Linked DNA regions of Stegostoma tigrinum. The protein of the gene in region 1 purifies or fractionates together with the protein of each later gene. This does not show direct contact. Links are inferred from orthologs where the notes say so. Each region holds a gene or a part of one and is shown in the gene's direction. Other genes may lie near its edges. The genes, in order: claspin and timeless.

Region 1 (15,662 bases):
GTCATAACTCTCTGAACAGATTGATTTAAAAATATCTATCATGTACAACTGGCATTATTTACAGTACTTAGAAAAGGGAAACTTGTAGAACATTAAAGCATTGTGTCTCTTTTACTAATGCAGTGCTAGAGCAGAGAATAACCAGGTTGATCTAAATTTACATATTGTGCTGGTGATAGCAGTGGGCCTTGTGCAAGGGCAGGAGGGAAGGTCTTTGCTAGAGTAATAGTGCGACAGTGGAAGGCAAATGATTTAAAATACATGGTGTAACTAGAATCAGTTGTGAAGGAAATGGGTTTCATGGAGGAGATGGATTAAGTGAGAGTTTGGAACCTAGGCTGAATTTACAAGCGGTTTAAAAATGACAGAAAAAATACCAAGGATCAGAGAAGAGGAGGAAACTGAGACAGGTAAATGTATATTATTTAGTTTTGGAGATCAAGAGTTTGTCAATCTTGAATTTTGCATTGAAGTTGAATTTGTAACCAGCCTGGATTTGTCTTTTGGGAGTAACTGTGCATTTTTTTTTTCAGTGTTACAGGGAACTACAGTATCCAAGGGCTTTTTCCGAGGGGCAATTCACTTTTTGTCAAAAGCACATACAACGCAGCTAAACAGAATTGATGACCAAACACAGATTGTGGTGACTGAGAGATACCAAGAAGCTTGGGATCAAATCTCAGAGCTTTGGTTTCTGGGAATGCAGGCTTTTGTTAGTTGTGTACCTTTGCTACCATGGCTACCACAAAGTGTAATTGAATCAGAGTGGTTGAGAGACATTTTTGTTTTGTTAAATAAGAGTTCACCTGTGACCGTGGAGTTTGACCTCGTTGCTGCCTTTCAGAGTGTTTTAACAGAACTGGCCAAGAACAGCAAACCATGTAAAGACATTATGTTAAATATTGGTGAGGATAAAGCCAACCTGTATGGAATGGCAGCTTTGGAGCACTGTCTTTCTCAAAATTAATGACAAACCAACCTCGATGCAAACTGGCCGAGGAAAGCCACCAGTGCAGTGATTTGAAGAGGCTTGGCATATGGCTGTATTTCCAGGCAAAATGCTGGTGAAGATTTTTAAAAAATAATTAACATTTTATTTAATTTTAGGTGTTGCAGCGTTTGTCATTAGCTGGTTAAATTTGACTGCCCAGTTGTTTTTAAAAACTGGCTTTAATTTAGGAGGTGCAGCAACTGCACCTCTCCTGCCCTCATTATCTGCTGCACTCATGCATTTTCAACTTTGGTTGAGAAGTGCTAAAATACGGCCCACTTCCAGAAGATATTTCATAATCAGTATCGTACAATTTTTTAAAAAAGGGTTTTGACAGTTCTAAATCAGAAATGCAAGAAGTAATGTATGATTTTTACACATAGAAATAGCTTATCGGTTAATTGTACAGCTGCGTCGTTGACTAATAATCCAAGTTATTGAAAAGAAAACGTCCACTTCCGGTCTTAGCTCAGCTGGTTCTAAATAAAATTAGTTTATATAATTTTAATCCAGTTCTTAATGGGAAAGAGACCACATCATAGAAATCCTAGGATGTGGTAGAACTTATCCAGATCAAAATTGTCAGTTTGAATACAGTACTTTAAAGAAATTATATGCTGATGCTGTGGGGAGGAGATGGGCTTCCAAGTTTCAGTTTTAAGCCACATAGCTAAGGCAGAATTTCAGTATCTAACCACCTTTACATCGTACTGAATGAAAATCAGACGAATTTGGACAAGAATAGAAAAATCTAAAAAAAGCTTAAATTGGAATTGGCAGTAAGACTCTTTAACTTCATTTAGAATTGGATCCATTAAAGTACCATTTTGACATCTCATTTTCTGTGCAACGGTTTCACAGCTGGTAGATCTGTTTTTTGTTTCCCTGCATAGATAAGATATCCTTTCCATCCACTGACCCCCAAAAATGATTTGAACTAATGCTTATGCCTTTCATTATCTTTTGCAACTTCATCTTGGAGCACTGACTGTCCTGCATAACAGTCTGCAATGGCACAAAGTGTCCAATCCAGTGGTGGAAAAAATGGATTTGTAAAGGGCAGCAATATTACAGTTTGCAGCAGAAATGCCGTTGCTGTATGTCTTTCCTGGGCTACTGAGAAAATGTTTCCAGAAGGAGCAAAAATGGCTAGATATGTGATTTGAAACATTTGCTTGCTCAATTTGGAAATTGATGTCTGGAAATCAGTGGCAGTGAAACTCAGATATGATATTTGTAGGTTTTTGCCCTTTTTTTTAATTTTAAAGGGTCTTTCGTGTACATATGTCATGACTCTGTTGCACTGACGTCCACACTTGACCTCACTCTGTGTTTGTAGTGGGGCAAAGGTGTTATTCCTTTAGGTCCATTTCTGGTGTTCCATTGATGAACTTTATTTTAAACATTTTGGAATCTTTTTATGTGATTAGGTAGTATATATGTGTCGATCTGTCTTTTCTTTTACATTATTATAAGACTTGAGTAAAGTATTTTCAATCTAAATTGTCTAAATGTCATTTCTAATTCATCTAAACAGAAAATAAGTCTGAAACTATTATTTAAATGTTGAACGTAAAGTTCAGTAAAAGAACATGTACACTGCTTCTGTTGAAGAACATTGTCGAGAAAAACAAAACTGAAAGTAATTTCCTCATGTTACAGCTTATTTTACTACATTTTTGTGCTTTCACAAATTAAATTATTGCTGGCATAAAATCTATAATCTGTTAATTGGCTGAGAGAAGCAGATGGTTTTTTTTTAAATGAGGGAATCAAGGGTTAAAGGGAAAAGATAGGAAAGTGGAGTTGAGGTTTATCAAATCAGCCACAATCTGTTGATGGACCAAATGGCACAGTGCTGCTTCTCATGTTGTGGTCTGAAATAATCCACTGCAGTGGCACAGTGGCTTGGTGGTTTGTAGGAAGTGGGAGGAATCAAAAGAGACGTTGTTGAGGGTGAGGATGAGTAACTTCTTCCGATTTCTCCCACTTCCTACAGACAAAGGGGGTGGCCATGGGTACCCGCATGGGCCCGAGCTATGCCTGCCTCTTTGTAGGTTACGTGGAACAGTCCCTCTTCCGCACCTACACTGGCCCCGAACCCCACCTCTTCCTCTGTTACATTGACAACTGTATCGGCGCCGCCTCTTGCTCCCAAGAGGAGCTCGAACAGTTCATCCACTTCACCAACACCTTCCACCCCAACCTCCAAGTTCACCTGCATCTCCAACACATCCCTCACCTTCCTGGACCTCTCTGTCTCCATCTCAGGCAACCAGCTAGAAACTGATGTCCATTTCAAGCCCACTGACTCCCACAGCTACCTAGAATACACCTCCTCCAACCCACCCTCCTGCAAAAGTTCCATCCCCTATTCCCAATTCCTTTGCCTCCGCCGCATCTGCTCCCAGGATGAGGCATTCCACTTCCGCACATCCCAGATGTCCGCGTTCTTCAAGGACCACAACATCCCCCCTGCAGTTGTCGAGAACACCCTCGACCGTGTCTCCCACATTTCCCGCAACACATCCCTCACACCTCGCCCCCGCAATAACAGCCTAAAGAGAATCCCCATTATCCTCGCATACCACCCCACCAACCTCCGGATACAATGCATCATCCTCCGACACTTCCGCCATCTACAATCCGAGCCCACCACCCAAGACATTTTTCCATCCCCACCCTTGTCTGCCTTCTGGAGAGACCACTCTCTCCGCGACTCCCTTATCCGCTCCACACTGACCTCCAACTCACTCGGCACCTTCCCCTGCAACCGCAGGAAGTGCTACACTTGCCCCCACACCACCTCCCTCACCCCCATCCGAGGCCCCAAGATGACTTTCCATATCAAGCAGATGTTCACCTGCACATCTGCCAATGTGGTATACTGTATCCACTGTACTCGTTGTGGCTACCTCTACATTGGGGAAACCAAGCGGAGGCTTGGGGACCGCTTTGCAGAACACCTCTGCTCGGTTCGCAATAAACAACTGCACCTCCTAGTCATGAACCATTTTAACTCCCCCTCCCATTCTTTAGATGACATGTCCATCCTGGGCCTCCTGCAGTGCCACAATGATGCCACCCGAAGGTTGCAGGAACAGCAACTCATATTCCGCTTGGGAACCCTGCATCCCAATGGTATCAATGTGGACTTAACAAGATTCAAAATCTCCCTCCCCCCACTGCATCCCAAAACTAGCCCAGCTCATCCCCGCCTCCCTAACCTGTTCTTCCTCTCACCTATCCCCTCCTCCCACCTCAAGCCGCACCTCAATTTCCCACCTACTAACCTCATCCCGCCTCCTTGATCTGTCTGTCCTCCCCGGACTGACCTATCCATCCTCTATCCATCTTCGGTCCGCCTCCCCCTCCCTATTTATTTCAGAACCCCCTCCCCATCCCCCTCTCTGATGAAGGGTCTAGGCCCGAAATGTCAGCTTTTGTGCTCCTGAGATGCTGCTTGGCCTGCTGTGTTCATCCAGCTTCACACTTTGTTATCTTGGATTCTCCAGCATCTGCAGTTCCCATTATCTCTATTTGAACTATCTCCCAGTTTTCTTCACGTGCTTGTTTTGTCCCTTATCTTCACCCGTGCTATGCACTTTCACTACCAACTGTGGTAGTGGTTCTTTTTTATGGCTTTTCAGCTGCGAAGATTTCTTTTTTTCTGTTCTGAATTCACCATTGGATTTCTTGGTGACCGTCTTCTATTTGTGGCCTATGTAGTTATGCTCTGCCCTGCAGCCTCCTGAAAGAGAGGGTGAAGCAGAACTGATAATATTATTGCTGTACCAGAAAAAGTGAGGGGGACAGTTTGCTTTATTGTGTACCTATGTAATTCCTGTGTTATACTTGTGAATTTTTTGTGCCCTTAAAGCATTTCCACTTTAACAGATAATTTTAATCAATCTGTGTCTGATCTGTCATGACACACCTCTGCAGCAGATAGCACTTGAACACGTGCCTCCTGGCTCAAAAGTAAAAATTCTACTACTACATCACAAGAGACCTCGTTTCCGGTTACCACATAGAAATGGAGAAATGTTTGAAGTACTGAACGTGGTCTAGTGCAGGTTTAGCTTATGTAACTTCGTTACTTGCCAGTTTTAGTTTTCAGATAAAGCTTGGTGCTTGTATTTTTACAAAGATATTTGTTAAATGTTGGTGTAACTATTTCAATGTGTTTCTATTACACTATTAGTGTAACGCTGTTTGGATGTGCAAACTTTCTAATGTACACTATAGTGATTTTTCTGTAGTAATTTCCCTATAGCACGTGGGTGCACAAGAACTCAATTATTGTGTTACAGGGGAACTGCCTATAATTGTGCTTTGTGAGGGGGAAGACACTGATTTTACATGTTTTCTAATCTACCTGTTCAGAGATAGGAGTATAAAAACTGGAGGTCATTTAGCCCTTCCGGCCTGTTCTGATTGTGGCCACAGATCAGCCAGTAAACCTGCCTTTGGCCTATATCCCTCAATACTTTTGCTTGATCAAAAGTTACTGAAGTTTAATTTAGATAAATGTGAGGTGGTGCATTTTGGAAAGGCAAATCAGGGCAGGGTGTGTACACTTAAGGGTAAGATCCTGGGATGTATTGCTGAACAAAGGGACCTTAGAGTGCTGGTTAACAGGTCCCTGAAAGTGGAATCGTAGATAGATAAGTTAGTGAAGAGGGTGTTTGGTATACTTGCCTTTATTGGTCAGTGCTTTGAGAATATGAGTTGGGAGGTCATGTTGTGACTGCACAGGACATTGGTTACGCCACTGTTGGAATGCTGCTTGCAATTCTGGTTTTCCTACATTGGAAGGATGGTGTGAAATTTGAAACAGTTTGGGGTTGGAGGGTTTGAGGCTGAGGAGAGTGGGACTATTTTCTCTGGACCATCAGAGGCAGAGGGGTGTTGGCCTTTATAAACGTTTCTAAAATCATGATGGGCATGGATAGGATAAATAGACAATGTCTTTTCTCCAGGATGGGGGAGTCCAAAACTAGAGGGCATAGGTTTAAGATGAAAGGAGAAAGAGTTAGAAGGGATCGGGATAACCTTTTCACACAGAGGGTGGTGTGAGTGCCGACCAAAATGCCAGAGGAAGTGGTGGAGACTGGTACAATGTTTAAAAGGCACCTGGATGGGTAAATAATTAGGCAGCATTTAGAGGGATATGGTCCAAATGCTGGCAAATAGGACTAGATTTATTTAGGATATCTGGTCGGCAAGGACGTATTAGACTGAAGTGTCTGTTTGTGTTCTCTGAGTCTTTGTGGAAGAGAATTCTGAACTGCTGTGTAGGTGCTTGCTGCATGTCTCTTGAACGGTCCAGCCCAAATTTTGACATTATGGTTGCGAGTTCGAGAATCTCTATATCTTGGCTCAACTCTGGATGAAGTGGGATTTAAACCTAGGCCTCTTGGCTTAGAGGTGTAGACACCGTCACAGCATTACAACAGCAAAGCTATTTCGGTTTTGTGGGAATAGAATTACCTGCAAGTCGATCAACAAATCTATTTCAAATTTACCGCTGCAGCACAAGAGGAGAAAGACGCACCAATGACGGGCGCCAGGTTCCATCCTGGACATGTCAATCATTTGTGGGAACGGGCGGGGTCTGGTGACATCACAAGAGCGGGCGGGGTTTCGATACGCCTCGACACTGAAGGGGCCGGCTCGCCTCCAGAGTCGGAAACAATACAGAGCGAGAGGGCGGAGTATTGTGCGGGGCCCGTCACCAATCGGGAGTGGAGGGATGGCACTCTGCTGATGGAGCATGCGCTGAGCGGCTGGGCGCGAAGGCCGAAACCGTGAGAGTTTGTTAGTCGGAGGCAGAGCTTTCCCGGGCTGGAGCCGTTTGGTTTTAAAGGTCGTGATGAAGTTATTTTAATTGGAACGCTCGGAGCTGCTGAAGTCACACGGCCCTTTTCGACCTGACGCCTTTTCTTCCTCGAGTGTTTTGTTTTCCGTTAATTACTCCGCGATGTCAGTATCCGAACTACAGCCGTGCACGGAGGTAGGAGCAAAATGGAGGGAGGGTCTGCTGGGCCGGCCCCGGCTTGGCGCGCTGGCTGGAAGGGAGGCCCCTCTGCTGTCGGTCTCCGCTCCTGAGACCTACTGGGGATTGTACCCGCAGTCCACTCTTCTCGGTATTTTTGTCTGGCGAATCATCCTGTGCCTTCTGAAATAAAACAACAGCGTTGTGACTGTTGGCACTTTCAGACTTGTCAGCTGATTGTTCTTTTTAATCTCTCTGGGTTTAAATATGTCAGTTTCTATAATTAAAAGCCTTTCATATTTTAATGACGGCCTGTCTTTCGTACTCGATCATTGCAGATTTGTCTTATTTTCCAGCTGTCTGTTGTAGATTGTGAATTTATATTTTTTGGCGGGTGTTGTTTTAGGTTCGCTAAGACGATCCTTACAATGGGAGTTGGTAGTTGGCGGTTTCCTATTGATAATTTGGGTGCAGCATGCATTCACTTTCTACCTTAAATTTTCCCTCCCCTGTTTAATCACCGCCCAAAATTGTAGGCGCTACTTATGCTGCTCACTTTTTTTACCTAGTTCTTCTGTTGCACAACTTTTAAGCAATTAACTTTTATGAATTTGCAGTTTTAAGTTTCATTGTTTTGTACATCTTTTCGCAACTTGTGGAAGACTGCCATATACCTTTATGACTGCTTTGCAGTCGTGAGGCGACGTAAGGAAAAGCTTAGTAAGGTGAAATATAGTAGTGGCTGTGAAGGGATTAAGCTTACTTGTTTTTAACTTTTTGGGCAGTCACGCAGTTCCATACATTATTTTTCTCGTTAAATGAGCACGTAGTGTATTCCGTTTAGAACAGTGAGAGGTGAAATGATCCAAACTGTTTGGTAGTTCTGTGTGTGGCTAATTATCAAACCAGGTCATTCCTTGTCATTGGGCTAATAAACGCAACCCAAGCACTTGATATAATTTGGCTTTGATCTTCAGAGTCAGATCTTCAGGGTTCCAGCTTCGGTCCACTAGATTGGAATCTGGAATATGATATGCTAGCTTTTAGGCTAAATCGTGCAATGATCCAATGTAACGTGAATATTGAGTAAGAGGATAGGCAAACTTATTTGGGGTCTAGTTTAACTTAATATTTTGAGCTGGAATTTTTGGTGGCCTTTAGGGATTTTGGATCAAGTATTTAGTGAAACCAATGTATAAACAACATCTGCAATTCTGTTTGCAATCCCAATGTAGTTCTTTGCGAACAGGATGAAAAGCTTTGTTTAACTTTGGAAACACACACATAGCATTGTATTTGCATTGTAAGTTCCCACACAAGTATCAGATGCATCATCAATATCAGTTTTATCACACTAGTGTGTTTACAGCAATTAATCATTGAATTCAAATCAGCAATGCTAGCATTAAAGTGCTTTGCTGTTTGTTAGCTGAGAAATATTGGACTGAATGGTAAAGCAGTGTCTTGACATCCAGTATGATACTAACATTTCAGCAGCTATTCAGTTTTTGAGGTACTTGTTCCATGTTCTAGAAATCCATCCTGTGTTGTAGCTGCTTCCTCATTTGTCTCTTTGCTAGACGGTGATGGGTGCACCTAGAGAACGAAAGACATTTCATGAACTTGAGGTTATTTGGTTCTGTACATATTCTGAATCATTTACTTGCTGAAATGTAGAAAATGAAGTTTATATCTGTGCATGTTGGTGCAAAATCAACTTTAACTGTTCGTTATTGCAACATAAGCAGTTCGAAATGACCAAATTGTAAATGTATCAGCAAGTTCATTCATGTCATGGCTGCCACAAATAAGAAGCACAAACCATCACAAATCTTAGTTTGGCAATGGAATCCCTTTTGCTGTAAAATGCTATGAAGATGTAATTGAATACAAATAAAATATTAATCAACTTAGTTCTAACATAGCATTTCCGAGTATTTGGCTTGTAAAATGAACTAAAGCCAGAAGAGCGATTTAGAAAAGTAAGCAATAGATATCAAATTATTACGAAATGCTTCACTGAAATATTCTGCCATAGAGGTCAGCAGACTGTGCTTTCTAACTCAGTGAATTCAATGTGTCCAATTAATATCGAGTACATCAGAATTTCTGCGAAGGTTGTTGAAAGCAGTGAAAACGTTTGTGCTCACTTTCAGAGATACTTGCATGTCTTTAATTCTTTTGATTTCATGTAGTATCAAAGTAGAGAGTGTATGATTTACCCAGGTTTTACCTTGATACCTAATTCTTTCATGGGTTTCATTGTCAAGGCCAATGTTTGTTGCCTGCCTAGTTCCACCACCTGGCTTGCTTGGCCATCTCAGAAGGGAATTTAGAATCTACCAAGACACTCTGGATTTTTGTCACGGCCAGTACCAGATATGGGTGAAAAATTTCCTTCCTCAAGAAAATGCCCAAAAGGATATTAGTAAACTGAGGGGTTTTACAGAAAACAACCACAGGTTCATGAGAGGAGCTTTAGTTCTAGATTTCATTTGTTGAATTTAAATTCCTAACCTATCCTGGTGTGGTTTTAACTCAGTAGCCAGGCTTCTGGATTCTGGTTCAGTGACATTGCCACTATCTCCCACTTCAAACACTTTTTTCACCTGTATATTCAGCAAGGTATTTGAATGAGTTTGTTAAAAGGACACCAGAGCATTGGTGATGGTGTAGCAAAGATGTATGTCAATAATGCTGGTGTTGAGTTTATAACTAGCAAAGGCTCAATTATCTGGAACTTTTTGAGGAAAGACTGAGTGATGAAGTACTGTAAAATGATAAAGGGGTTTGATAAGATGGGTGCAGCATATGTTTTTCCAGTTTTTGGATATTCAAAAGGGTCAAAGTGCTTGATCATCTCTTAAATTTACGGCAAACTTCTTAACCTAAAGTGTGTTTGGAATGTGAAACTTGCTACATCGTTGAGCAGTCAAAACAAATAAATATGCATTTTAAGGGAATGCTAAGAAAAACCACATGAGGGAGAAAGAAATCAAAGGCTATGCTAGCAATAATAAATCAAGTTGGGTGGGAGGATGCTCAAGTAGAGCGTAAACTTTGACATGAACTGGTATCGCCAAGAAAGTTGTTTCTGACATGTAAGTCCTGTGAGATTTATTTGATTAATCTGTTTGAAGACTCCCTTGTATTTTTCAAATGTTTATGATCATCTTCAGGTGGAGGAAGTCTTTTTGCTTGAAATTGTGTTCAAAGAAGAATGCAACGGTTGTTACACGTTCTGTGTCTAACTTTCTCTCTTTGTGTGCTCACTTTGTAATCCATTTCTGTCGTATTCTAATTTTTCACCGAATGAGCTGTGACCAAAGTAGGCTCTGATTTTGTACTTTATTTCCAGTTAACATTTGGTGAAGAAAAAACAAATGACAGTGATAACGACAGTGGCAAGGGAAGTTATGGAATGGTCTCCCCACGTTCAAACAAAGACATGTGCCATGATGGTGGAGGTTTGTGTTCTATCATGTGTAATTTGTTTCAGCTTGCAAAGTTATTAGTTATTAATTCTCTATCATCAAATCCATTGTTTGTTCTGTGGAGTACTTTGTTACACATTTTCTCTAAGTGTGACAAATGTGAATATTTCAGATGTTAATGCTTCAGTGATCTAAGTTATCTGCTTTTACGTTAAAATTAGACTAGGATAAATTTGGGATCCATCAAAACTAGACAGAATAAATTGAGAGAAAATCAACTTTCAGGGTAAGGTAGCAAGGAACATAAAAACTGACAATAAGAGTTTCTTTTGTATATAAAAAGGAGACGTCAGTGATTCTTGGCCCCTTAGGAAATGAATTTGGGGGAATAGTTGTGCAGAATAAGCAAATAGCTGTAGAGTTAAACAAATAATTTGCCTCAGTCTTTATAAAAGATACTTCAAACATCCCATGAATTCGGGTGAAGAATTAAATACCATCACCAGCAACGTAGTATTCGACAAGCTAATAGGGCTGAAGGCACAAGTCCCCTGGCCCTGTTGCCGTGCATCCAAAGATCCTAAGAGTTTGCATAGATAGTGGATGCTTTGGTTCTAATTTTCTAAAATTCCTTGGATTCTGGGTAAGGACTGGAGGGTTAGAAAACAGCCAATATGACACTCCTATTCAATAAGTGGGGAGGCAAAAAGCACATAACTAAAAACAAATTAGTCTAACATCTATTGTTGGAAAATTGTTGAAATCAATTATTAAGGAGTAATTGCAGCAAATTTGGAAAACTTCATAATCGAATCAAGAGTGGTCATGGTTTTATGGAAGGGAAGTCATGTCCACAGCTGCTTTACAGTATACATTAATGAGTTTACGGAAGGAAGTGCTCATACTGTTGCCAAGTTTGCAGATGACTGCGAAATAGCATGAAAGGCGGGATGTGAGATGAATCCAAACTGTTTAACAAATAATGTGTAAAGTGGGCCAAAAAGTTGATATGTAGTGTAAAGTGGGGGAAAAATGTGAATTTGCTCTTTTTTTGTCTTTCTTCAGATTCAGAAGAAGAAATTTTTACCAGCAAGAAAATTAGAAGGAAACCTTTGCAAGAGAGTGATAGTGATGGGGAGGCAAGCAATCTACACAGAAACAGCAATTCAGAACCAGATGTTGACAATGAAAATGAAGAGCGAAATTTCAATGCGGGAGATAAAAGCAAGAGGCTGCGACGTATTCGGAGAGTATTGTTGGATAGTGATGAAAGTGACTTGGATATTATTAACGGTGAAGGTCAAGTGAGAATAATAAAATCCAGTTGTGTTGGTAGAGAAAATGAGGAACAGCCCACAACAGAACTCAGACATGAAAATTCTGATTCAGATAGCTCTTCAGTTAGCTTAGAAATATCTGAACATTCAAAACATCACCAAGAACGAGTAAATCGAAAGGACAAGTCCCAGAGACAGCGAGAGAAAGCACTGAAAAAGCTGGAAGCAGTTGAGAAACTGCAGAGAAAGAAGAAGAAACAAGAAAAAATGGTGTGGAAAATAGTTAACAGGGTGCCTTCTGAGGTTAAGCTTGAACTGTTAAACCATTCGACCTTTTGAGATCTTTCAATCTTACTTGCAACTGTGTTTTGAAGATGGTATTAAATAGTAAATACATTAATCACTTCAATTTTTTAATGCATTTCTTTAATCTCTGTTCAGGAAGAGTCTGCAGAATACGAGACAGCAGATGACAGTGGCTGCCTGCTAAACAACAGTGACTTGTTTGAAACAGAAGTGGATGATGTGAATGAACTTGATGCAGAGGAAGAGTTGTCATTGGATGCCATACGAGCAGCTGTAAAGAAGAAAGCAAAACAATCCAAAGTGAGTCCGATTTGAAACTTGTGAAATTGGGTTTTGTTCCACAAAGTGAACTACATTTGCAAGTTTTGTTTCACAAAGTGATCAAATGTTTTTCGGTACAATACAACAGATGCAAACAGAGTCCCTTGCCCTTGATAAATAATTTAGAGCTAGTGGCTTGTGTGAAAATGGGAGAGAGGAGACCAGACTGGGGAACTCCATGAGAATCTGGACGATGGTTGTAAATTTCCACAAATAGAGATTTAACCATTGGGCAGAAATGGGGTTTTGTGAATGTACGTTTGTATGTTGAGCATCAGTTTTAAGTTGCAATTAGTACAATGACAAAATGTCAACAAATCCGTGACAGTTGCAACTGGTCAAATTCAAACATTCCATCATTAATATCAGTACAATTTGCATCGTAGATTGCCTGAAAACCCCTATGCTCACTGTCTTGACTGGCTGTCAGTGAAACAATATCTTGATTATTAAAATTTTTATCCGTGAGTTTCAAATTCGCTTCATAGGTATGAAGCTATCTTTGTAATCTCCTTCGACCCGACAGTACTGAGATCAGTGCCCTATTCTGAACTTGATTTCAAGTGGAGCCTCACTTTTCATTGCTTCATAATTGATGAGCTCAATTGACTTGATCCAAGCCTCTGGAATTCCCCCTCAGCCTTGCTACGTCCTTTTTCTCCTTATTACACTACAAGGCATTTACCACGTTGTCCAAGCCTTCAGTCATGTCCTGTATCTTTACATGAATTAATAGTTTTTTGGTGGCTCATTGTCATAATTTATTTTGCAATAGTTCTGTCACGTGTCTTGGGAAATTTTATTTTGTTAATGACTGCCTCCAAATATAAATTATTACTGTCAAACTGTCCTTATATAGACAACTATTTTTGTCATTTAAACAACACCGCTATCTGAACTGAAAATTTCATGTTAAAAAATCACACTTTTTTTTGTGGTTGGTTGACTTGCCGAATTGGTTTGTTGTTCTGCATACGTTTCATTACCCTGCTGGGTAAAATCAGCAGGGTAATGAAACGTCTGCAGCACAATGAACCGGCTTGGTGAGCCAACCGACCACAACATCCACAACCCGAGCTACATATCTGCTCCAAAAGTGTGTGTGTGTGTGTGTGTGTGTAGATCAAATGTTGGAACCTAGACTGAAGCTTTACTTCTGTTGATTTCGTCATTACCCACGCAATATGTTCCAAGGACCGGTATGCATGTATAATTGTGAGTTACAGCCTTGGTCCAAACATGGACAAAGGAGCGGAATCCCAGAGAACAACTGCAAGTGACAGCCCTTGAAATCAAGATTGTGTGTTTGACCAATTATGGCAAAAGGAACCCTAGCCAGACTGGAATCAATGGCATTTGGGAAAATTCTCCACTGGTTGGAGTCATTCCTGGCACACAGGAAGATGGTTGTGGTTGTTGGAGATCAGTCTTCTCAGCTTCAGGTTAGTTCCTCGGGGTAGTAATCTAGGCCCAACCATCTTCAGCTGCTTCATCAATGACCTTCCCCCTCATCGTGAGGTTAGAAGTGGGGTTGTTTGCCGATGATTGTGCAATGTTCAGCACTGTTCGTTACTCCTCAGATACTGAATCAGTCCATCTTCAAATGCAAGAAGATCTAGACAGTATCCAGGTTTGGACTGACAAGTGTTGAGTAACATTTGCGCCACACAAATGCCAGGCAATGACCATTTCCATTAAAAGACAATCTAATTACTGCCCCTTGATGTTCAATGGTGTTACCATCACTGAATCCCTTACTATCAACATCCTGAGGTTAAAATTGACCAGAAAATTCAACTGGACTTGCCACATAACCAGTAGCTACAAGAGCAGGTCAGAGGCTAGGAATACTGTGGTGAGTAACTCTCCTCCTGACTTCATAAAGTCTGTCCATAGTCTACAACGCACAAATCAGGAATGTGATGCAATATTTTCCTCTTGGTTAGATCAATGCAGCTCCAACAATTGCAAAGAAGCTTCCCACCATCCAGGTCAAAGCAGCCCATTTGATTGGCACAGTATCCACAAACATCCACACTCTCCACTACGAAGGCCCAGCAGCAGCAGGGTACCATTTATACAATGCACTGCAGAAATTTACCAAAGATCCTTTAACAGCATGTTCCTAACCCATGACCACTTCAATCCAGGCAGACAAGGACAGCAGGTACAGAGGAACGCCACCACCTGCAAGTTCCCCTCCAAGCCACCCACCATCCTGATATGGAAATGTATTGCTTTTCCTTCACTGTCACTGGGTTAGAATCCTGAAATTCCCTCCCTAAGGACATTGTGGGTCAAGCTGCAGCACCTGGATTGCAGTGGTTCAAAAAGACAGCTCACCACCACCTTTTCAAGGATCAATGAGGGACAAGAAATAAATGTTGGCCAGCTGTGGAATGGCCACATGTAGTGAATGAAGAAAGAAAAGATTGACTGACTAAGTTGACTTTTATTTCATTTTTTTGTGAATACTCCTGTATTCTATGAATCATGTTACTGTATTTTGTTTATTTGTACAGTTTCTGTAATAATTTCTTAGTTGCTCTTCTGATTTTAGAGAATGGACCTGGTGCCAGCTGGTGAAAATCTCCAGGATTATGATTGCGCAGAAGCTTTGCAAGTAGAGGAGAAAAAGGTGATATTTGGCTAAAATAGCTTAATGTCAATCCTTTGCCACATCACTGTTCAAAATGAAGTATTATATCCAGTGTGTTATTTTCTATGAAAACAAAACCTTCATAATTCTACCAGTGACTAAATATTCTCAATTCCTTCTCCTGTTTGTCTGTCCTTGGCAAGTTTTTACAAGCTTATATGTTCTCTTACAAAGCTGAATTTTATTTTAGAAACAAAAGTAACTTTTACCAGGTGTACATTATCTACTACAAATAACCTTCAACCAGAACAATCTTAAGGGCAGAATCATTAAAAAAAATTGCAGATCATAATCACCTTTTATGGTTCATGGATGACTGCCTTGTTACCTTGCTCCATGCTTAATGCAACATGGTGCCCCACAAGCTATATAGCCACTGGTCTCTTTGACAAAAATAAAAGCCTGTGGCCCCTCATGGCCCACAGCTTGAAGCACTTGATATTTGACAACTTAAAATAGATAAACAAAAGTTATTTAGTGAACTATTAATGAGTACAATACATAGTTAAACTGCAGTTCAACATCTCGTGCTATTTACTCGATTCAGGCATTTGAAATTGATTTATTAGTTTGTTCTGCTGGGAGAAACTTCCTGTTTTTACATGAACATTGCATTTGTGATTAATTTGATAAATTGTTTTGAATCTGTTTGCCATCAAATGTCAGATTGCTAATC
Region 2 (16,642 bases), on another chromosome or scaffold:
AATCACCTTTTAATCTAAATCCTACCTTCTCTTGGATTTGCCTTGAACTGAATTATTAACCTTGATGTCAAATGACTTCTGAACAGAGTCTTGTGCAAGAATGGCCAAAATTGGAGTGATGTGCCTCCAGTGGTGGAACAACAAAAAGATTTGGCCTTTTTTAAAAATAAATGATCCTGTAACTAATCCTGCTTTTAAAATCCTGTAAGTATTTTATTGTGTGATGTAGTCAGGATGCCATCTTGATTTTGAAACACCCTCTACAAATACCTGAAGAGGTGTGTGTGTGTGTGTGTGTGTGCGCGCGCGCGCGCGCAATGGATATCGAATGCATGATTGCCGGCCACAAAGTTACAATGAAGGCTGAGCTAGTACAGGATTGCAAAAAAAAACAAAAATGAAAGGGATAGTAGAAAGCCCAAGTATAATGTGTACGTTTTTAAAAAGAAATGTAATTCACTTGGCTTTGTTTCAGTGGAACTGACTGAAGTAGGTATCAGTACTTTAGTAACTACCTAATACTGGACATTTTAACTGACTTCAAATGGGAGCTATGCTTCCCTCCTGTCCCTGCTCCAGCTGCAAATTATTATACTTTGACCCAAAGCAGCCAAGAATAATCAGACCAATTGCCACTGGCAAGAGGTTTTGAATATGGTGCTTCAAATCCTGACTTGAGGGGTAAGGGGGAGAATGTTGTTAATCTATACATTCTAGTTAGAGTTTATGTTTGTACATATTTCGATTTAAAATCTTGCTGTTCGGGAATTTTTTTTGCTTTGTCCACAAATTGGTAAATTCTCTCCCTCAGTATTCAAAATTTGAAGTTTACAAAAACCCTTGCAAGTGTGAAACATGGTTTAACCTTTCGTTAGGGTTTGAAACTGGGTCTGTGGGATTGATTCAGTCCTGGGCAGTTGTTTTTTTTTTTAAAAGGTGAGTTCAGATCCAGCAAATCTTTATCATCGTCCCTTGTGCAGTTCCTATGCCTTTCAAACTGTAGGGAAAGCTTGTCCAATATTCTTGAATGTATATCATTTTTGAGCACAAATCTAGGATTATATTGCTTGAGGTTTGTTTCAGAAGGCTAATAATTACATTATTTATTTTGGGGTTTTTTGAGGTTAAAAGAGGACTTTGTGTTTAGACAACATGAAGGAATACTCTTTCTATTCAATTTGGGGCTGGACTCAGGAATGTCATAACGTCCATCCAAGGAAGTGTCACACTTTTTTTTTCTCTCTCTCTCCATGGGATCCACTGAAGTGTCTAAACCTTGTGCCACCTGGATTCTGTGTTGAATGTTATTCAGCAAGCTAAAAGCTAGTTTTACGTCTGATTTCCGGTAATAATCAGTACAGATATTATGTCCTGCATCGTAAATGCTCTTGCAGGGCTTAAAATACAAATTTATGCACCAAGGTTTGTAGTAAACGACATGACTGTGACATTCCCCCTGCACATCGAGGGACCTCATGACCTGTTATTTTTCTACAAGCGACTGGTAATTTAACTGCAAAAATGTGTTGAAGACTTGCCTCTCCAAGTTTAAGTTTTTTTTAAAATAATTGGTTTGCAACATGTGTTACACAGTCCCCTTTTTTTTTGGATGTTTCAGTTTGGATCTCAACGTGGCTTGATGTTGCTTACAAAAATGAAACCTCCAGCTGGGCTAGGTACTCATCTGGGTGGCCATGGGCAGAAAGATAGTTTCTGGAATTATTGTCTGGTTCTGCTTTTTTTTTAAAAAACATCTTCTGTACATCCTCCCTTCCTGAAATTGATCTGTGACAAAAATGATTGTGTGCCCTTGATTAAGATCTGTCCTCATGCAGTCAGAAAGGATTTGTCTTTAAATCACCTGGTAATGTGCCGAAAGCTATAGTAGTGATGACAGCTTACAAATAAGTCTGTTTTCATTTTGAGTGCCAAGTAATCTGCCTAATCATAAAGGAGCTCTTTCCATTTCCAGCTTTACATCCTTGTCTTTGGGACTAAACAAAGCTACCTGAGAATATCCTCATGGGAGATAATCTATGTCTTTCTCCCTCTTTTTGTTTTGAAATTTTCTTCTACTCTATCCCTCCTTTCTACTCTCCTTCCTCCTCTCCTGCTCACACTCTCTGCATATCCCTGTCAAGGAGGAGCTGGTGGCCATCTGGTCCCAAATTGCTATTCTACATCTTATTGAGGGGCTTTTGAGGGCATTCCAGATAGGCTTGATCTTTTTGATTTTTGATACACTTTCCAGTTATGGTCATTGCTTTAAAAGCAGTTAGCAGTAGTACCCCAATGTGTTTTGTCCCTCCATAACCTGAGGATGCTGAGGTCAACTATAATCTCTTCAATTGCTGTCCAGTCTGAGATTGACTGACTACCTCTGCTCAGAGCAGAAGTTTAATTTCTTAGTTACATTGGGGAGGAGGGGTATGGAAATCATCTACCTAGCCTCTCGGACCTTTTTAAAGTAACTTCCAATGTGATAGATGGAAAAGCAGAATTTGGTCACTACATTAATCCTCTCGGAACTATTGTCCTGCAGCAGCCAATTGGAATAATTATCTATTGGATAATATACATAGAAAATCAAATAGTATTTTAGAAACTGTTATCTTGCAGTAAAACAAGCAAACTTATATGAAGTGTTTTTTTAAAATGTTGCTCCAGAAAACAATTCAGTGCTTTTTTTTTTAAATTTTATAAAGCTGTGTATTGTCTCACTGTGCGTGTCTTTTTAAAGTGAACCTGATTACACTACACAAGTTTATTTTGTGATTGGAGAATGTTTGCAGTCCAGAATTGACTCCTGTAGCTGATTAGTTGTGATGTATTTGAAAAGCTGTGGCACTTGGTATTAATGATGAACAAAACACTTTTTTTTTCATAAATTATCTGTGAAATAAAACTCATAGTATGTATTTGGTCTTTGTGTCCTTTTTTCCCCCAATTTGCGCAGTGTCTTGCACTGTCTGCATATGTGCTGATCTTTATTTTCCTATCTCACCACCTGGCTTCCAGTACGGTTTGTCCTCTCTACTTTGTTCACATCCCTCAGCCAGGACAGTCAACTCCAGCTGAGCATGAGGCTAGTTACGTTCTGCACTATGTTCTGGTGCATAGTTTTAAATATTTATACTTGCCCACCAGAGCAACATTGGCCAGTTAATTACATACCTGATTGGTTTGTTTGTCTTGTCAGATTCTTGTGATGTTCATCTGCTGAATGTTAGAGATTTTATGCAAAGTTGATAATTGTACAGATGATGCTGAACTAAAGCTCAGCTTAGGCAGTACAAAACACAATATCAGTGGATGTGATGATAGCTGCACCGACCTGTAGGAATTGAACAAAATAGCTGCTGTCTGTATGCAAATTAGAACCCGAAATAGATATTGGATATTTATCCAATCACTAACAAAACAAATAGAAATCTGTAGTGCAGAATCAATACATTTGAATACATGTTTGAGGAAGTCCCTGCTTTAGACAAGACAAAGTCTGATTTCAGAGTCCAGTTTTGGCCCACAAGACTTTAAGGGGAGGGGGAGCTGGGAAATGTTTGCACATTCATTGCAACTTCAGTGGAGCTGAAGGATGATTTCATATACCAAATTAAAAACTGAAAGAACTGTGGATGCTGTAAATCAGAAACCAAATTGAGATTGCTGGAAAAGCTCAGCAGGTCTGGCAGCGTCTGTGGAAAGAAATCAGAGTTAATGTTTTGGGTCCAGTGACACTTCATCAGAAAAGTCCTGCGTCCTAACTCTCACTGATCCGGTGTGTCTATCATCACGCTGCTTACTGCCCAACATTTTTTTTTGTTTTTCAAAAGATTCTCCTTGTTCATGAATCACTTTTATGGTGAGCACCTGCTCTTCCCCACCCCCCACCCCCCACCCCCAAAACACACTCCATCTCTAACATCCTATAATTCCCTATTTCTGAAACTAGGACTGAAGGGTTTGAGTTACAGGGAGACATTAAATAAGCTGGGGCTTCTTTCCCTGTATTGCAGGAGGCTGAGGGGTAATCTGGTAGTGGGTTTATAAAATGATGAGGGGCATGGATAGGGTGAATAGTCAATGTCATTCTCCCCCCAGGTGTAGGGGATTCCAAAACTAGAGGGGCATAGGTTTAAGATGAGAGGGGAAAGATTTGAAAAGAACCTAATGGGTAACTTCTTCACACAGGGGGTGGAGCATGTATGGAACAAGCTGCCAGAGGAACTGGTGAAAGTCATTACAATTGCAACATTTAAAAGGCATCTCGATAGGTATATGAATAAAAAGTGTTGAGGGATATGGGCCAAATGCTGGCAAATGGGACTAGGTCAGATTTGAATGTATTGTCAGTGTGGACAGCTTTGGCTGAAGGGTCTATTTAAAGCTGTACAACTTTTATGACTATGACTATTATTATCTCCTACGACCTCCTATCTCTGTAATCTCCCCCATCCCTCCTTATATGTCACCGCCACCTACACCCTTCCCTGTCAACACCCTTCCCTGTCACCTTCTCCAGCCCCTAAAACCATCTCAAGATCTTTGCTCTGGTCCAATTTTGGACTCTTCAGCATCCACAATTTTAATATCCACATCATAGGCAGCTGACGGAGCAGGTTTTGGAATTCCTTCCCCAAATCTCTTGTGTCTTGCTTTCTTTCATTCATCCCTTTTTAAGATGCTCCTTTAAAGGCTACATTCTTGATTTAAGCTTATGGTTACTTGTTCCTCATACTGACTTTGGTGGCTCGGGTTAAATTTTGTCTCATGTCCCTGTGGAGTACCTTGGAACATTTACATTGCACCCCAATATAATTAAATGCAAATTATTGACGTGAGAAGGTGAATACTGGAATGACCCAGTGGCTAAACGCACAACTGAGATTTAGGGAGCTGTGTGGCTACATCGGACTTCAGTATCTTTGGGTAAAGATGGAGTAAATATCAGCTAAAGTTGTCCTGATGTTTATTGCTACCCACCTTTGCTAGCAAACATTGATGTGTGCAGATGTTTGGTGAGGACCAAATTGGATTTGATTGTGATGTTCTTTTCGGGTGACATACCATCAGTACGTTCATACATAAAGAATGGGCAGTTGGGGTAAAATACAAGAGGGGTTGCCATTCTCGGGCTGAGGTTTACTCCTCCTCTTCCTCCAGGGTACTTTGTAAAACCTAGCACTTTGAAGTTTTTGGTTGCCTGAACCTAATCTATGTGACTCGGTGTCAAATTTTGTTTCATCACTCCTGGTGAGTCATTTTGTTTTTACTATTTTAACAATGCTATATAAATTCAAATTATTGTTGCACTTTTCACCCTTCCAATGTAATAGATGTAAAATAATAGGCCAAGGCAAATAGAAGCAGGTGGGTTGTTAATACTGTGCGGTAAATAGGACATCAGATACTGAGTGTCATAGAATGTAAGAAATAGGAGTGGGGGTATAGGTCAAAGGGGGTATAGGTCAAATGGCACTTTAGCCCGCTTTACTAGTCAGTAAGATCCTGACGAACCACCTGTCTCAACTAATTTCCTGTCAGTTTTCCATATCATTAGGTTGCCTGAGAGGTCAAAATCTGTCTACTTCCGCTTGAATATACCCAACAATTGAGCTCTGCAATGGACACTTCCATTGATTCACAACCTTTTGAAAGAAGAAATGTCTTCTCATCCCAGATTAAACAATTAATTCATATTGTGAGTGTAGCCCATTTTCCCCAACCAACAGAAACAATCAGTGTCAACTCTCAAGTCTCTCCAGAATCTCTCTGTTTCAGTGCTATTGACGTTCATTCTTCTAAACTCTAGACAGCATAGGCCCAATTTACTCAGCCTCTTATGGGACAACGCTGTCACCCCCATGTGCTCAGCAATGGGGATAAGATTGGGGAGTGATACCAGGTAAAGTGTTCCTGTGGAGAGCCTGTGCAGACAATACTGATTGGCCTCCTGCATTGTAACTATTATAAGGTACTCCAGATGTGTTCTCTCCAAAGCCCAATACAATTGTGGCAAAGTGACTTTTTATTCTTGTACCTGCCTACTAATTTTGTGTTCGTTTGTACATGCACACCTATCTCTGAACATTAACATTTAAAATCACACCTATTTTTAAAACATCTTCTATACTGAATACTAAAGTGAACAAAATTACACTTACCCCCACATTAATCTTGATCTATTTCCCCCCCCCCCCCCACCCTTGTTGCCCAATTACTTAATCTTTCCACAGTGTTGGTGTCTTCACCGCACTCCTCCTGACCTAGCTTTCTACTGTAAGAAAATTTAGTCGTATTAGTTTGTCTCTTTGTCTAAGACATTAATATAAATTGTAAATAGTTGAGGCTGCATCACTGATATTACATTTGCGGAATTCCACTAATTCTACATGTAGCTGCCAACTTGAAAATGCCCTGTTTAATCCCTATTTTCTGCTTCCTGTCTGTCAACTGATGCTCTTCATGCTAATCTATTACCTTGATCTCCATGAGCTCTTATCTTGCATGTTGACTTTTTCTGCAGCACCTTTATTCAAGTATGTTCTATCTTCTGACTCTCTGTTATGTACCTTTATAACATACAACTTCAAAAGACTTCAATAAATGTTCAAATATGACTTCTTTTTCATAAAACAATTTTGATCCAACTGGTCATGCTACAATTTTCTAAATGTGTTAAGACTTCCTCAACAATAGATTCCAGCGTTTTACTGATGACTGACTTCAGGATAACTGGCCAGTATTTCTCTCTCTATCTCTCTCTTGCCTTTCTCAAAGAGCAGTTACATTTTGCCAACTTCTGATTTGCTAGAATCATTTTAGAAACCAGTATAGTTTGGAAAATCCTAACCATATAATCATTTTCTTTGCATCCACTTCATTCAAAATCCTAGGATGTTCACTGATACCATTGAATTTTTTTTAAAGATTTTAAATGAAGGGCAGGAGGAACTTTTTGTGCATACAGTTGTGAGACTGGAATTAATTTGCAGTCATAAAAGCAAAAAACCACAGATACTGGAAATCTGAAATTTAAAAAAAATTCTGAACAGACTCAGCAGGTTTGCCAGCATCTGTGGGAGGAAAAAGTTAGTTTTGAATTGGGTATGACTGTTCTTTGGAACTATTCTGAAGAAGAGTCATGTTGAATTAGGATAGTGGTTAAGGCAGAAACAATGCCAGTATTTCAGATTAGACTTGATGGGTGTATGAAGGCAAAAAGGTTGAAAAGGATATGGAAATGTTATATAATTGTGTTTGGTTCATGTGGTGGGTTAATGTTGACCCAAGCTGGTGGAATGAAATGGACCTCTCGTGCATTGTTGCATGAAATGTAGAAAAATATGAAACAATGTTAGGTGCAGTGATCCTTCTACCTGTTATGGCAATTAGTTCCATGAATGTTTTTCAAAGTTTCTTGGGGTGACATCACACTCTAAGTGTAGGAGCTGTCCTCCTGACAACCTGGAGTATGATGTAAACAAAACGATTTGAACACTTAACAATCGAGGAAATGGATCTTTCATGGAAGAAAAGCTGAAACACTTTTAAAATTAAAGGCTTCTGTTCAATGGGTAACCAAAAGATCATTTAATTCATCGTGAACAGAACTTGTGATTTTTAATGCAATAGGTAATAAGCTTTTTAGCAGTTTTCTTTCATGGTTTTATTGAGTGAATTTTACAAAGTGTGCAAGATGTGCAGTTTCTACTTTGGTATGCCTGTATGTCGGGACTGCTGTGTGACAAGTGAACGTTCCCAGAAGCAAAACGTGAACGTCAAATTCCTGGCGGTTGTATTTCCCTTTCCCGGGGGGGGGAAAAGTATATCGTCACGAACAGGATTCGAACCTGTGCGGGGAGACCCCATTGGATTTCGAGTCCAACGCCTTAACCACTCGGCCACCGTGACTCATACTAAAGCAATTTAAAGGGGTTTTAATACAAGATTGGAGTGGGCTCACAGTTATTCGGACGAGACAGTGTTATTCTACTGTTCTAATATGCTTTGTTCTGAAATCGCGTATAGTAAAACGTTCTCTGACGATCACCTATTCGGGGAAATCCGGAATATCTGACACAAAGTTAATTTAGCGTTGCAGTTCTCCGCCTGGACTGTTTTAAATGCGCCTCGAGAGGGGTGGCCTGAATCAAGACACATATCTGTTACATTTAGTACGCAGCCCTCTCTAAAATTTACCAAGGAAAGGATAATATTTTAAAGAACAAATACTAATAATACTTTTTCTTGTGTGTTCGCAGGTTGCATATTTCTGCTTTTTGTTTGTTTCTCAGGTCTTCACCCCCCTGCCGCCTCCCAGTTGGGCGGTTCCGGGGTTGGCGGGAATTCTTGGAGCGCGGAATGTTCAGATTTTAGAAGGACAATCGAGTTGAAATATTTCAAGCATTTCAGTCATAAGCACTTGGAAATTGGCTTGCAAAACCTAAGGTGAGCTTGTCTCTTTTATTCCTCCGTTTCAAATCGTTCGGTTCCCCCCAATTTAAATCTTTTCAGTCAAAAACGGGATGATTTTGGAGCAGACGGAGGTCATTCTGCTTGATCGTGCCTGTACCGGCAAATTCACCATTGCGATTTGTCGGTGTCGGGTTGTAAACGTATCCACAAATATTCCTTTTTGGATCCGAAGTTCTTTTAGCCAATTTGATCTCTTGACCATCATCTATTCCTTCCCCCTCCCCCTTCCGTCCGTCCCATATTTTTCTTATTGAAGCAGTACCTCATTTTACTCGATTTTGTGTTTTATATGGCTGCATGACTTTAAAACAAATTTCGAGCCTGAATCTCGCTAATCCATTGAAATCTTAAATTATGGAAAGCTCAGCGTGTCCGTAGAAATCAGCTGACATTTCTTTCTGACACTCCGATGAATGAAGGGCTCTGGGTTTGGGGGAAGATGTCATTTACGTTGGAAAATGCTTCTACAGTTTAAGTGAAACTTCCAAGCACTTCTGCCCCATATTTATGTTTCTCCATGTTGCTAACTCTCTTTCACATATAATTGAAAATTAAGACTTGCTTTCTCCACATTTTTTAGCGGACTCAACAACCATTTACAAGATGCACAAAAATGTAGGTCTTTGATGTCATAGGTTCCCCTGCTTTGTATGGGAAGTGTTGTCACTGGTGCTGTCACATCAGTAACACTCTCCATAAAAAATTGCTTTTTTCCCCTTTTAAATCTTGTGCACTTCCTAACTTTACTGTAGACAACAATACAACTTTTCAAGCCTTACCCAATACAGTTTGCACTGCCAATCGTCCTCAAACTACAGTAGGACTGTTGAGGATAATAGAGAGAGGGAGGATGTTCTGTTAAATTAGCTCATGAGACATTTACTTGAAGGTCCAATAAATAATTGTGTTGCTTGGTATTGCACTAAATGGTTCCAGGTTCAAATTTTAATTACCTAGAATTATCTTGCAACGATCTCTGCCTATAAATTCTTTGACTGTGTGCTTCCCTCCACTTTACCTGACGAAGGAGGAGCGCTCCGAAAGTTTGCAATTTTACATAAACCTGTTGGACTATAACCTGGTATTGTGTGGCTTATGACAATTCTTCTGATCTAATTTTAGAAATTTGGAGTGTTACATTTGGCATCAATGGCAGGGGAATGTGGGCCTTAGGTACAATAACAATAAAAAAAATATTAAAGGTATTACCAATTGATCACAAGTGGAATGGAAAAGATTGAAACTCCAGTCATCCTGCTGACCTCCTGGGGTTGGGCTTGCTTTTTCTTTGGGATGGGAAATGTATTTTTAACTCCACAAGAAGAGATGAGATTTGTTTTCCTCTGAGGGCTGAGAGCCTTGGAATCCTTAGTGTAGGAGCAAGGCTCTTCAAGTCCACACTGACTCTCTGGAGAGCATCCCACCTTATTCCTGTAACTCTGCATTTTCCATGGCTTATCTACACATCCCTGGACATTATGGGTAATTTAATATAGCCACTCCAACTAACCCGCATGACTTTGGACTGTGGGAGGAAACCAGAGCATCCTCATGCAGACACAGGGAGAATGTGCAAACTCCATTCACTCAGTCACTGAAGGTTGGAATTATACCAGTGTCCCTGGCAATGTGAGGTAGCCATGCTAAGGACTGAGCCACCCTTTGGGGTCTTTGAAGTACTCTTCCTCAGTAGTGGAGGCAGAGTCTATGAATACTATTAAGACTAACAAGGGAGTTAAAAGTTAGCATGTTTGACAGGAAGGTGGAGTTGAGGACAAAATCAGACCAACCATGATCATGTTGAATGGCAGTGCAGGCTTGAAGGGCCAAATGGCCTACTCCCCATTCGTATGTTCATAAGACCTCAAGATGTCTACCAGTCCCTCTTTTCAAGGATGCACTAGGCAACTTTTGCCAATCCTGTTAGTCTCAAGAAACTGATGGGTCACTTGTCCAGCATCCTGTTTTGCCATGTCTCTAGTAATGTCAGTGGTGGCGGCACTGTATTTTTCTATATTCCACAGCAGCATGATTAAGACCAGAAATTCTTAGCAACCATTTTGCTATTTTCTGCTATTACCTGAAACTGGACAGCAAATGCAAGCAGCACTTGGCAAGTGTGGTTGTATTTTAAACAGAAATGGAGTTATCATATAGATTGATGACCATTGAAATGTGCAATGGTAGGAGTGTGGGAGTAGCACAACTTTTTGTCCTTTTTTTGCACCGATGTATCTATTTGATTTGTATCTTCCATCCTTTTATAACATCACTTCATTTGCAGTGTACTTTTAAGCAGATGACAAAATAATTCTTCCACACTCTGTTTTACAACTGGAGCAATTACACCCTTTTTTCTCGCTCTCTCTCTCTCTTCTTTTACCCACACCACCACCCCCCCCCCCCACCCCCCCGCCCTTCCTTTGTTTGTCCTATGTCTCGACTGCTTTTGAAGAGTGCACTGTGTGCGTCTGAACATGATGAACTGTGAACTATTAGCAACATGCAGTGCCTTGGGATACCTGGAAGTGGACAACTATCACAAAGAGCCTGATTGTTTAGGTGAGTTGTTTCAAGCCTGTACTCTTAGTCATGCTTTAAATCCTGAGACCTGATTCTTAAAACTATATGAAAGCTGTATCTCACAATTGACAGGGTTTTCTGGCAGTCATCATCCATAAACTTAGGGGGAAACTGGTGACACAGTAGTATTGTCATTGGACCAGTAATCCAGAGTTCAAATCCTGCCAATTAATTTTAAAAGGACTGAAATTAAACAAACAAACTAGGACAATGAAAACTATGAAATCATTTTTGATTTGTTCACCGATGTCCTTTAGGGAAAAATCTGCCATTCACACCTGGTCTAGTCTACATATGATTCACAGCAATGTGGTTGAGTCTTAAATGCCTTCTGGAATGGTGCCGAGCAAGCCACTCTGTAGCTAGCTCCTATACAATATGGTAAAAGGAATTTTTCTTAATTGCAAAAGTATACATGCTCGCTGAACCAGTGGGTTTGGTTGCAAACTTTTTGTCACTGTGCTAGGTAATATCATCAGTGCGCCTTTGGTGAAGCTTTGGTGTTCTGTCCCACTTGTTATTCATATGCCTCAGATTGTTGGGGTGTTTGGTACCACTTCCGGTTCTGTTTCTGTATTTTGTACAAAAACAGGATATAAGGCATATAAACTGCAAGCTTTAGTGCATCCTTCAGCACGTAGTCCTGCATCTTGGAATGTGCCAGTCTGCAGCACTCAGTCACAGTCAATAAAAGGAATTAAATTGGACAGACCAACTAGTATCTGCCAAGGCGTTGGAAACAATGGCAAATGGCCTTGTCAATCTTGCTAAGTTTTCTCTTACTGTAAAGAGCAGTCATCCACACTTGCTTTCTGCAACTAAAAGTTACATTCATCAAAACAACGGAATAGACGTTTCCTTTTAGCAAAATTATCTCCGAATAATTTTGAAGAGATTTTTAAAGAGAAAACACTATGTATAACTCTTCCACTGCTGTCTAGCCAATCAAACCACCTCTAGAAAGGAAGTCCAGGCTGCCAACTGCAGTTTTAGACTTCTGAACTCCATCTTAAAAGCCAGGGCACTTGTATCCCTTGGTTGTTTTGTATTTTAGTTTTACTAATTGAACAATTTCTTGATCCTTTTCTATCCTGTCTCTCCATGTATGTTTGTAATTGTGCTTCTGTTGCAAATCATTTCTCTGTATCTGAGATCATGTGAAATAAGCCCTACTTAGATTTAATTTTCCTACAGTAATGTTGTGTTCCTTACAAAGTTATAGTCTACCCACGGAGTGAATGGGGAAATACACCCCACTGTTTCAAGAGAGGAGAAAAATTTAAATTGCAGTCTGCTTACTGTTACTAGGAGGTAGCAAGAATTGCAGTTGCTGGTGTAAACACAAAATATTGACTTGCCTGCTCCTCTGATGCTCTGCTGTGTTCCTACAGGTCCACACTGTATTGACTGTTTACGCTTACAATCCCAGGTGATGGTAATACTGGACAAGTCAGATCCCAGAGTAAAACCTGACTTGATAGGCCATAGATTTTACTTTTGCAATTTGATTACCATGGTGGTCAGTCACTGGCAACCTCCAGTGAATAGGTTCATTGTGCAAAATAGTGTGTTACTCACAGTAATAGAAAATAAACCAAAATTGTGTAAGACATTCCACGTGATATGATAAACAGCAAAAAGAGCTCTCTGATGAAGGGTCTAGGCCCGAAACGTCAGCTTTTGTGCTCCTGAGATGCTGCTTGGCCTGCTGTGTTCATCCAGCCTCACATTTTATTATCTATAAAAGAAAGATTAATCCCTTTTTCCCAGTGTTGTCCATTCCAGGCATCCAACCCCAGTGAAGTATCACAACTATCTTCACTATTTTCGTACTCAATTGACACGGTTACAAATGTTTCCTTTCGACGACTTACTTGGCATTCACCAGATGTGATTCTCCTCATTTCTCCCTGAGACAAACCGGCTAAGTTAAAGTTTTTTTTTCTAACTACGTTAAGGCTGTGAAAGAGCACATCTGATATAGTTTGTTTCCTCTGAGCTGACTCTGCTTCTTGCCTCTGATCTCTCTTTTTTTTGGCAAGTCATAAAAGCTCAATGTTGTAAACACTTCAGCAATTATCTCTCCAGGTAGCTGGTCAAGTAATTTAGCTTAAGTCACATGATTTGTTGAAAACACTGTTTTGATCCAATGCTAGAAAAAAAATTAGCCTTTTTTTAAATGTCACAGTCACAGAACTGAAAGCCAAAAACCCATTTGCCCCTACTTTGGAATCCAAGTTCTCAAAAAATAATAATCTATTGCAAACCTCCACATGTAGACAGGTGGTGAGAACAGGGAGAGTGATTTGTTTTGAAACTCATAATCTGTCTGTAACAGTGCCGCTCAAGGCCTTACAGACCAAGAAATCTGCAGTTTTGATTCATGATTTGTTCAGTAAACCAACTCCAGCTGACTGTTTGCTTTGGAATGTTAGAGACATGGGAAGGAAATCAACCAGAGCTGCTGCTGCTTCTGATAGAATGTTGTGGCACAGAAAGAGGCATTTGACTCCTAGTGCATGTGTCAGCACTCTGAAAGATCTGCCCATTAGTTCTGCTGTTGCCCCATGGCTTGACAATTTTTTTTGTTGTTTTGCAATTGAAGAATTATTTCTGGAAGGTGCACATGTGGCTATTGGACAGGAACAGAATCAGGTTTGGTTGTGACAGCCTCGTGGTAGCGTATTCAGCCAGAACTTACTCTCTGCTTGTGCCTGAAAATGGCCCCTTGAGTACATGCTCAAGCAAAAGCCACTAGCTTCAGGAAAAGAAGTGGAGCCAGCTAAAAGTGACGTTTGATTTATAAAGGCACATGCTGACTGCAATTCATTCTTGTTTTTCAGAGAGTGTCAAAGACCTAATCCGATACTTAAGACACGAAGATGAGACAAGAGACATTCGGCAGCAACTGGGAGCTGCACAGATTCTACAGAATGACCTGCTGCCCATTATCACACAGTATCCTCAGGAGAAGGTGCTGTATGAAGCAGTTATCAGGTATCAATCAAGTTTGAAAGTGTTTTGCTACATGGAGCATTTTTGCAGAGTGCTCCTTGCATTGAAAAGGGCTGTGTTATCTGCATTTACGTAGTGTCTCAGACCACAGCAGTGAAATATCAATCATCTCCAAATTTTAAAACAGGTGATTTGAGGTAATCGAGTAAATAAGATAACTAAGTATCCATTTGGCTTGTCTAAAGGGACTCTCTTTGGCTCCTTGTGATGAATATTTCAAAGTGGAACTTGAGAAATCCAAGGAAACACGATTCCTTAAAGGAAAGGAAACTTGAGGTGAAAAGGAGGTGGGTGGGAGTTGAGTGATGAAATACTTTCTGGGATGGAAGAGCTAATACAGTTTCAAATCTAGCCTTGTAATAGCAGGTGTTTAGCTTGTGAACAATCCTTTAGTGTGGTAGGGGGAGAGGGACATGCGTTAGAAGGTTGGCTTTGTAATCAAACCCATGCAACAAACAAAGATTGACTGTATATGAACTCAATCAATTAGGTGGCTCTCCCATAGAACATAGAAAAATACAGCGCAGAGCAGGCCCTTCGGCCCTCGATGTTGCGCCGACCTGTGGACTAATCTAAGCCACTCCCCCACACTATCCCATCATCATCCATATGCTTATCCAAGGACTGTTTAAATGCCCCTAATGTGGCCGAGTTAGCTACATTGTCAGGCAGGGTATCCCGCGCCCTTGCCACACTCTGAATAAAGAACCTGCCTCTGACATCTGTCTTAAATCTATCACCCCTCAATTTGTAGCTATGCCTCCTTGTACAAGCTGAAGTCATCATCATCGGAAAAAGACTCTCACTTCCCACCATACCTAATCCTCTGATCGTCTTGTATGTCTCGATTAAATCTCCTCTTAGCCTCCTTCTCTCCAATGAGAACAGGTCCAAGTCCCTCAGCCTTTTTTCATAGGGCCTACGCTCCAGACCAGGCAACATCCTGGTAAATCTCCTCTGCACCTTTTCCAATGCTTCCACATCCTTCCTGTAATGGGGCGACCAGAACTGCATGCAATATTCCAAGTGGGGCCGCACTAGCGTTTTGTACAGTTGCAGCATGACATCACGGCTCCAGAACTCAATCACTCTACCAATAAATCCTAACACACCGTAAGCCTTCTTAACAGCACCATCAACCTGGGTGGCAACTTCCAGGGATCTATGTACATGGACACCAAGATCCCTCTGCACATCCACACTACCAAGAATCTTTCCATTGACCCCGTATTCTGCCTTCCTGTTATTCCTCCCAAAGTGAATCACCTCTCGTTTATCCGTATTAAACTCCATTTGCCACCTTTCGGCCCAATTCTGCAGTTTATCCAAGTCTCCCAGCAACCTACAACATTCTGCCACACTCTCCACCACTCCACCGACTTTAGTGTCATCTGCAAACTTACTAAGCCATCCACCTATGCCTGCGTCCAAGTCATTTATAAAAATGACAAGCAGCAGTGGTCCCAAAACAGATCCTTGAGGCCCACCACTGGTAACTGGACCCCAGCTGAATATTTTCCATCAACCGCCACTCGTTGCCTTCTTACAGAAAGCCAATTTCTAATCCAAAGTGCTAAATCTCCCACAATCCTGTGCCTCTGTATTTTCTCCAATAGCCTACCATGGGGAACCTTATCAAAGGTTTTACTGAAGTTAACTGCCCTTCCCTCATCCACATGCTTGGTCACCTTCTCAAAAAACTCAATGAGGTTTGTGAGACACGACCTGCCTTTGACGAATCCATGCTGACTATCTCCAATCAAATTGTTGCTTGCTAGACAATTATAAATCCTATCTCTTATAATCCTTTCCAAAATTTTTCCTACAACAGACATAAGGCTCACAGGTCAATAATTACCTGGGTCATTCCTATTGCCCCTCTTGAACAAGGGCACAACATTTGTAATCCTCCAGTCCTCTGGTACTAAACCTGTAGACAATGAGGACTTAAAGATCAAAGCCAAAGGCTCCGCCACCACCTCCCTAGCTTCCCAGACAATCCTCGGAAAAATCCCATCTGGCCCAGAGGATTTATCTACCTTTACACCTTCTAGAATTGACAACACCTCCTCCTTACTAACCTTAATCCTTTCAATTCTAGTAGCCCGTAGCTCAGTCATCTCCTCTACAATATTCTCCTGTTCCTCAGTGAAAACATGAGAAATAATCATTTAGCCCCTCTCCAATCTCCACAGGGTCCACCCACAACTTCCCACTTCTGTCTTTGACTGGCCCTATTCCTACCCTAGTCATCCTCTTATTCCTCACGTATCTATCGAAAACCCTAGGGTTCTCCTTTATTCTACCTGCTAATGTCTGCTCATGTCCCCTCCTTGCTCTTCTTAACTCTCTCTTTAAATCCTTCCTAGCTAATCTGTAACTCTCCATCGCCTCATCTGAACCATCTCGTCTCATCGTCACATAAGCCTCCCTCTGATGGAGGGCGTATGATGGACATCATTGATATTTGAATCTTCCATTCTTGTAGTTTCTTTCAAAGTTGGAAGGTTTGTTTTTGAGATGGGGGTGTTTGCTGATGGGATGGTTGTTAGGCTGAGCAGTCATT

Evidence for each region.
Region 2: the proteins of claspin (region 1) and timeless purify together in Homo sapiens (affinity purification with western blotting; 4 studies listed by BioGRID). This does not show direct contact. The link is inferred for Stegostoma tigrinum from reciprocal best matches to the Homo sapiens genes CLSPN and TIMELESS.

Annotation. Positions count from the first base shown.
Region 1 is NC_081377.1:22,633,160-22,648,821, reverse strand, and holds the start of claspin, read left to right. Parts: upstream 1-6,778; 5' UTR 6,779-6,974; coding exon 6,975-7,007; intron 7,008-10,347; coding exon 10,348-10,456; intron 10,457-11,488; coding exon 11,489-11,970; intron 11,971-12,141; coding exon 12,142-12,306; intron 12,307-14,887; coding exon 14,888-14,965; intron 14,966-15,662. Other genes in the region: ncdn (neurochondrin), read left to right, coding at 534-967.
Region 2 is NC_081404.1:19,199,188-19,215,829, reverse strand, and holds the start of timeless (protein timeless homolog), read left to right. Parts: upstream 1-8,306; 5' UTR 8,307-8,451; intron 8,452-10,933; 5' UTR 10,934-10,955; coding exon 10,956-11,040; intron 11,041-13,904; coding exon 13,905-14,058; intron 14,059-16,642. UniProt on the Homo sapiens protein: Plays an important role in the control of DNA replication, maintenance of replication fork stability, maintenance of genome stability throughout normal DNA replication, DNA repair and in the regulation of the circadian clock.